Linked DNA regions of Danio rerio. The protein of the gene in region 2 binds, or shares a complex with, the protein of the main gene of each other region. Links are inferred from orthologs where the notes say so. Each region holds a gene or a part of one and is shown on either strand. Other genes may lie near its edges.

Region 1 (4,312 bases), on a different chromosome or scaffold from region 2:
ATTTCTGAATCGATCCAAGAATCATTTCTTGATTCACAGTGCATTGATTTATTCTACTATCCCTAAAACTAAGCTGCGGTAGGCATCTCATATAATGCATCCACTAAAAGATGTTGAAAATTATTACCAGTATTACTTTCAGAGGTGGGTAGAGTATACAAAATTTATACTCAAGTAAAAGTAACAATCTTAAAAGTTACCCAAGCTGCAGCAAGAAAACATCTGCATATATGATTTTCTTCATTACCTGTAGTACAAACACTTCCTGTTTATTGCCGATGAGTGTATATATATGATACAAAAAATCAGTAGAGATCAATGGGAATCAGGCTTTCTTGTGCTAAACACCCAGAATGCATTACACAGTTACGTCAAATTCCTGTTCTCTATAGACAAGTTATTGTGTTTATAGTTTTATATAGTATCTCAAATCGTCTAGACATTTACATATTATTCAATAATCCCAAAGAAGATAACATAAAAACTGTAACAAAACACGTTTGAGTAAGTTAATTAATTGACGGAATGATCAGCTCAAAAATCTGTAGCACTTTTCAAAAAACATTTTTATAAAGTCCTATGGGGAAGAAAAAAACACTTCTAGAACTAGCACTGCTGAAGAAGCAGGCCCGACTAATGCACACTTTATTTATTGCTAAATTTTGAGCATCGTCAAACACTGCTTCACAAGGTCTTCTGAAGTTCTGACTGAGCATAATTTCAGTGCACTAACTGAACGATTCTACAAACTAAAGCAGATTAAACAACTTTATAAGGCACTGACCATAGAAAAGTCTGAGTGTTTCAAGGCCAGAGAAGAGGAGCAGCAGGACAACATCCAATATCAGATTATCTTGTGGGTAAGGGAGTATCACTCCTACAAATGTCAGAGCAAACAGTGATTACTTGACAAATAAAATCACAAATTTTCAGAATATTTCAAGAGGCCATACATCACCTTTGTAAATGAACATAAGAATCTCAGCAACGAAAAATGCAGCAAAATACCAGCCGTTCAAATGAAACAGGATCTGCAGTGGTGTGGACGACAACTGAGGTACTTTGTTAAGAAGCAATATCAACAGAATAAACAAAGACAAACGAGTAAATAATAAGAAAAAAAAACAGCTTGAAAAGATACAACAGGTTGTCTTCCTGCAAAAGTGAAAATAAATACTGAATTAGTGAAAATAACATAGGTCTAAAAGTAAAAGTCCTTTAGTCTCATTTATGCATCTGCCATCTTGGAATGGGTAATGCAGTTTTTCAAGATGCCACAATATTGTGCAGTCTCTACTTGTAGAAGAAAAGGGGGGCACTGCCACTGACATTTTTATAACCAAAGATAGTGTAAATATAGATAGCATAAATCTTTCACAGGTGAGAATGTGCTGGTTTGTGAATTTGTATGCATTCATTCAATATTACAGTCAGTTTGCCTATCAGAGTTCACAAACCAGCTTCCTATATTGCACATGGCATGCATATACAATGCTGTTTTGGGTCAGTGGCTCATTTTCTTCCTCAAAAGTCTTTGTTAAAATGTTTCAAGCCATAATCCAGGCCAACTTGTTAAAAGTTTTCTTACATTACAAACTCTAGTATAAAATAAAGATGAGTCTGAAAATGAAATAAACGTACAAAGTTACAGGACAGTGTACTTTTAAAGGCATAGTTCATCCCCCCCAAAAAAATGTAATCACTATTTACTTACTCTTAAGTGGTTCAAAACTTTTACAAGATTTTATTTTTCTTCTGTTAAACATAAAAATATGAAAAGACCTGAAAACCTGTAACCACTGACTTCCATCGGGGAAAAAAAAAACTACAGAAATCAATGGTTACAGGTTTCGACCTTTCTTTAACTGATCTACTTTTCTGTTTAACAGGAAAAAAAACTCATATAGATTTGAAACCAGGACAACTCACGACAGAACTTTGATTTTTGGGTGAACTATCCCTTTAAAATGACATGAAGCATTTGTGAACAACATTAATGACTAAAGAACAAAGGAAAGATTTAAATTTCATTAAAATGTGTTGGTTGTATCTACAGAGAATACCTGAGCAGCATCGTTGGTAGTGTTAATAAGACAGTAATGTCAGGTGCTTTTTTTAAAGTATATTACAAAATTAAATGGATAGAGTTTTATATTATTAGATTTTTTGCAAAGTAAACACATCCTACCACTATAACTAACAGCCTTTTTAAGATTTTCATACAGCTCATTTTAAGACACAGTGTTGAAATTAATCGGGTATTCTGCCCCAATTAACTAGTAATAGTGGTTATCAATATTTTTAGCAAAGTAATATGGTTATCTATAAAAATTCTCATTAGACCTATGTTTTTTCAAAAACACGACTTTTTAAAGATGAAAATAAATAGGTTGCATTTAAAGTGTTGAAGACAATAGCTGCCCCACAAGCACAATTTGTACAAAACAATACTGACAAGTGCGAGAACACATTTAGTGAACACGCGGTTAAGTAACACACACAGATTAAGCATTGAAGTAAGATCAACAGGCAGTTAATCATTATGCAAGAATATAATAAAAAAAATAACATCTATTTGTTGGAAAAAAGACAGGCGTGCTTTAAATGGCTAAAATCGGCTACGTGATGCCTACTTTCCACCCTAAACAAAAGTGCACATTCTGCTCTATTAGTCCGCTTGTTTCTTCAAAAACGTCTGGGTCTGGTTTATTAAAGTCGCCCACTTATTTAAGTTAAATATGCGCAACTAAGGTGAACCAATAAACTTACTATCAAAACCAAAACATTTCCGTTTTGCTTACCGTGGGCAGCCATGTTAGATTGCCATGGACACGCATACTGTAGGCGGAGACAAACATCGGCCATCCAATCAAATCAAGCAAACGGGTCAGTGATCAAAAACATACAAGTGCGAGAAATGAACACATTCTGTAGTAAGCACACACATTTTCCACCTATAGTCCACAAGGTCAAAACAAAATGGTAACGGTCACAGCTTACGGTTCATATAAATATAATAATCTGTATATTCATATGCACACTAAGCAGCAAAACAGTCACTGCCACTGAAATAAATAACCTTTTATACGTTCCTTTTAGCCAATAGTATACGCAATGTTGTATTAGTGTTATTCATAGTTATGATTATTATACATAGCACACTACTATTTCATATTCGCTATTATTAATTCCTCTATTCAGATATAATGTATTTTTTATTCTACATTATTGTATAGAATTTGTACTATAATAATAAGGTGTGATTCTTTACTTTTTATAAACTGTTTTTGTTAACTGTTATAAAACTGTAAAAAAAGAGAGTATTTTGATAAAGGTATACATTTACATATCTTTTTATAACATAAAATACACATTACACGTTTGAGCTTTCTTCTAGGTAACTGGAGGTTTTTTTTCACACCATACAATTATAATCAGTTATTAAATATAAGCGTTATTGTATTTTCTATCCGATAAAATAGCAGCTCCTCCGTTCACGGACCGAAGCTACAGTGCTCTCTGGTGGCTTAAACTGAACTATATTTTATTTTTAGACATACAGGTTAGATACAGATAAATTTACTATATGCCTGAAAAATAAGACTTATATGCATGCAAAATAGAATATGAACATACGAAATTTAGTCAAACAGAGAATCACAGTTGCTATTATTTAAATACTCATAAGATGGCGGTGCGGTGGCGTTGCTGTGGTTACCATAGTCAGTGGCGTTCTAAAAAAGAATGTGTTCGAAAAATGACGTTGAGAAACTAGTGTGACCTTCATTAAGTGTCTGGCCATCGCTGACATTAGCGGTATGTAAAGATCTCTCTTAAAGTATAATTTTAGGTTATATTTTGTTGTTTCGACGAGATTTTGGTTGAATACACTAAATATTTTAGTATTTCTTTCTGTCATATCGTTTCAGAGTAGTATATTAGTTTTTCCACGTCTTTCTTCGGTTAGACTGTTGATTGTACTGAATGTTGGATGGAAATGGAGATTTCTGTATAGACGACTTGTTAACTTTAGCATTTTGAATCCATATTTTTCTAGTTTGTGTATTCTGTTATCTTCTTTAGTAGCCTGTTTATAATGAATGCCATTTGTTATGTTGTCAGTTAGGTAGACCGATAGATACGATATTTTTGTTTGTGTGCTTCATTTGTATATTACTGTCTAACTTTTGCAGGTTGTTATTTGTTATATCGTCTGGTAAATTAATCGGTTATAATGTATTTGTATGCTGTCAGCCTAAACTACAAACAATACAGCACTAATTATCAATATGTGTTTAAGTTGTCCTGTTCA
Region 2 (3,566 bases):
AAATACACATTTACATATTTACATACAAAACAAATAGCTAAATACCATCTGGTTGAGGCAGAAGATAAATGAGACTTACACTCTGCTTGTAGGCTGTCCCGAATTTGAAGGCAGACTGTTGTCTGGTAGGGGTGTCTGGACAGAGCTTTAGAAGATACATAAATTAAAGACAAGACTTTAAAACACAAGCAAATAATAAACTTTCTTCTGATTGAAGAGCTTCAATGTCACATAAGCACATTTGATATTGCAACAGACATTTAGACATTTTGTTGTGAGAGGATCAAGAGATGGGTTGAAAATGCTTCACTTTCTGGAAAGAGCAGCAGCTAATTTGCATTTAAAGAGACACATAGAAACTTAAAAATAAGCTTGATGTCGGTTTTTGATATTTTTATCAGATTAGTATGTTAAATGATATTAATTCTTTATACATTATGTATTTTAAGCTAAAACATCAATGAAACATTCTGGTGAGACATGAAACTTGTATAAAGTAACATATTGGAAAGTATCAGAACTATCTGAGACTTATTTCAGTATGTTGATGTACTTTCTTTCATGTTGCATATCACTACCTCATAGCAAGCTAATCGTAAGAAAGAGTATTAATATGCGGTTGCTATGGAAGCCCTCAGGTTGGACTGTCACTCCAAAAGCAGAAAAAAAATGATCAAGACTTTCATTAAAGACGACCAAAACAACCAGTTTTTTGTGGATTTACATGCACAAATTAATTATTCACCTTAAAATTAACAACAAACATTGTAAATGTATATATCATTTAATAATCTTATCAAGAAAACAGCAGTTCAGAATGTTTCATGGATTTTACCCCAGAAGAGAAACCAGTCCTGCTTGCCTACCTGAAGGTTGCCTCTACCAACGCTTTCCCATCTCAGAAACTCTCCACGCACTGAGTACACAGCAGCTCGCAACTCAATGTTGGTGTTCTGAAAGCAGCAGAACGATTGGTGAAAAAATACTACATTGATGTTTACGTTTAAATGTCCAGTGTTTACCTTTTGTGCCCCTTTAAAGCTGAATCCAACAGGAAGGGGTTCATTCTGAAGAGCCTGTGATGCCATCCCTGGTTGATCTCCATAGTACAGCCAAGGTAGGTTTGTCCTCCTAGAATAACAACATTGTCAAGCAAAGCAGGTTAATTTGCCATGTTTTATGGACCAATGGGGCAAAAGTAGAATTTAGGGAATATAGGGATGCAGAAAGTAGAAAAATGTACGAACAACAAGGATTTAAATCAGACCACATTGGCAAAAATTGCCATGCCTATGGTTAATGATCATTTTACTATCCAGACAAACAATCACCTTAAAGAATCAAGGATTGCTGTAATATGTTTTTTTAAAGTTCAGTCTCCAGGTTTAAATCTCTTTTAAAATAGTTGATAGGATTGAAAGAAAAAAAGATTATCAAATCCAAAGATTATCAGTTATCTGGACATTTTAAGTGCAGAATGAAGAAGATTTTACTCTTAGGATGAAGTATAGTCAATAGGAATATTGCCATGTGCGTAATCTACAATTTGTTCAGATGTCTTATCTATCCATGAAGGGCCTGAGGGAGAGTCTGTAATATATAATCATGTTACTTTCTCATCTGAACCATGTATGAAACGAGGCCTGTGGAACTATAATCGAGTTTTTTATAATCAGGTTATGCATTTAACTGCTATTTTGAACATATGATTCCTAGGTGAAAAGGATACATGTCTGGAGGCACAAATGACGTATGTGAGGAAAACCTGCATAAAAATATGCTAACTCAGACAGGAAGATTGACGCAGCTTTGTTGTTTCTGACAAAGTGAAAAAAACCTTCTGAAATCTAAACCTCAAGGCTTGCGAGTGGTTTCAAAAGACGCAGCAGACACCACATCAATAGCAATAATCATTATGTAATCATGTCATGTATGTTACCAGTAGGAGATGTCCTGGCTGCTGCCCTGAGCAGCTGTTGTTCTGTAGATTGTGTTGTAGAGACCACAGACATCATTGTTGATGGAGCTGGATGAGTGCATGTTCATAACACACATGTTTCCCAGAGACTGACATGCAGTCCGGTTAGAGAACAACTACAGAAGAACAATAACACAGCTTAAAATGGGTGAAACATAAAGGATAAACATTTAAAATAGACTAGTAGACGTGTGAAGAAATGCACCAAACATGCAGCGGCCGAAGAATACATGAAGCTTGAAAACCATGCTGACTGGACAGGGAGAGTCTGTGTAAAACAAACACACATTACACTTTATGACAACTGATTCAAGCTTACTCAAACACTCAAACAAACTATTTACGATGTTAAAGAGAACACTTACCAGTTGGCTAAAAATAACACTTGAGGCAACTGAGGTAGGCAGACTGTTCGCAGGGAAGCACATTCCTCCTGCCTGTTAACAGTGTGATGAAATCATACCTTTCTCATCTTGTCTTTTTAACAGCATCGTATAAACATATACATAAATGTAAACAACAAATGCACCAAATATCTGAGATTCTCACCAGCGTATTCGAAGTGCCGCAAACACAAGACTGAGATGAGTTAATGAATGAGTCCCCACATCTCTCACACCTAAATATAAACATCCCAACCAAATTATTTCAAAATAAATTATGTAATGCAATGTTAAAAATTATAGTTCTCTCAAAAATACAACTTTGCTGTTAATTTACCCCCAAACCATCCAAGATTTAGGTGATTTTTGTTCTTCAGTAGAACATTTTAGATTTTCAGATGCAATTATGGTTATAATTTGGGTATTAATTATAAGCCAATTGTTACAGACTTCATGCAATATCATTAAATCATGAGGAGCCACAGGAACCAATGCATTTTTTCCTATTATGAAAGTCCGTAGTACAGGTTTTCATTTCTTTATAATGCCTTCTTTTGTGTTCAAGAGAATAAAGGTGTGGACCCAATTGAGGAAGAGTAAATAGTGAGTAAATGTTTTTTTGGGGTGAACTATCCCTTTAATTAGATTTTCCTTTTTTTTTCTCCATTTAATTTATTAACCATATAAAAATACACCTACATCTCGGTCTGAGGGTGAGTAAAAAAAACACAAATTTTCACAATTTAATCACAATTTTTTTAGGTGAGCTATTAATTTAAAATCATTAAGAACATAAAAAGTCAGTTATAGAAAAAGCATTGTTACCTGTTGCCTTTCATATCTGGGGCAGAAAAAGCAGGATCTGTTGCACTACATGCTTGACACCTTGCTTCAATTAAGGGATTGCCATTCCCATCTCTCTCCACTACAAAAAACAATCAGATGCCATCAAATATTAAGTAATTCTTAACCATCTACCCAAATTGCACATGTTTGAATTATAGCTTTCAGGAAAAATAACTAAGTCTTTATATAGTCTGTCCAATTAATGCATGTATTTTTTGTTTTAGTAAAAATGACAAGCGCCTACCCAGCACACTTCCCTCAGGACACTGACACTTGCCATCCTTCCCCACAGTTCCAGGACAACGAATACATTCATATCCATCCTGGGTGACCACCTTTGAATGACAGTAATCGTTATT

The links. The genes of interacting proteins can lie anywhere in the genome.
Region 1: tmem67 (region 2) and tmem216 share a complex: the UniProt entries of both Homo sapiens proteins name them as parts of the tectonic-like complex. The link is inferred for Danio rerio from reciprocal best matches to the Homo sapiens genes TMEM67 and TMEM216.

Annotation. Positions count from the first base shown.
Region 1 is NC_133189.1:29,311,873-29,316,184, forward strand, and holds the start of tmem216 (transmembrane protein 216), read right to left. Parts: upstream 2,826-4,312; 5' UTR 2,815-2,825; coding exon 2,802-2,814; coding exon of another isoform or gene 2,785-2,801; intron 1,156-2,784; coding exon 1,142-1,155; intron 1,053-1,141; coding exon 959-1,052; intron 878-958; coding exon 785-877; intron 1-784. UniProt on the Homo sapiens protein: Part of the tectonic-like complex which is required for tissue-specific ciliogenesis and may regulate ciliary membrane composition.
Region 2 is NC_133191.1:30,690,268-30,693,833, reverse strand, and holds part of tmem67 (meckelin), read right to left. Parts: intron 3,543-3,566; coding exon 3,452-3,542; intron 3,287-3,451; coding exon 3,187-3,286; intron 2,598-3,186; coding exon 2,528-2,597; intron 2,416-2,527; coding exon 2,344-2,415; intron 2,247-2,343; coding exon 2,184-2,246; intron 2,095-2,183; coding exon 1,940-2,094; intron 1,132-1,939; coding exon 1,023-1,131; intron 954-1,022; coding exon 867-953; intron 146-866; coding exon 80-145; intron 1-79. UniProt on the Homo sapiens protein: Required for ciliary structure and function. Part of the tectonic-like complex which is required for tissue-specific ciliogenesis and may regulate ciliary membrane composition.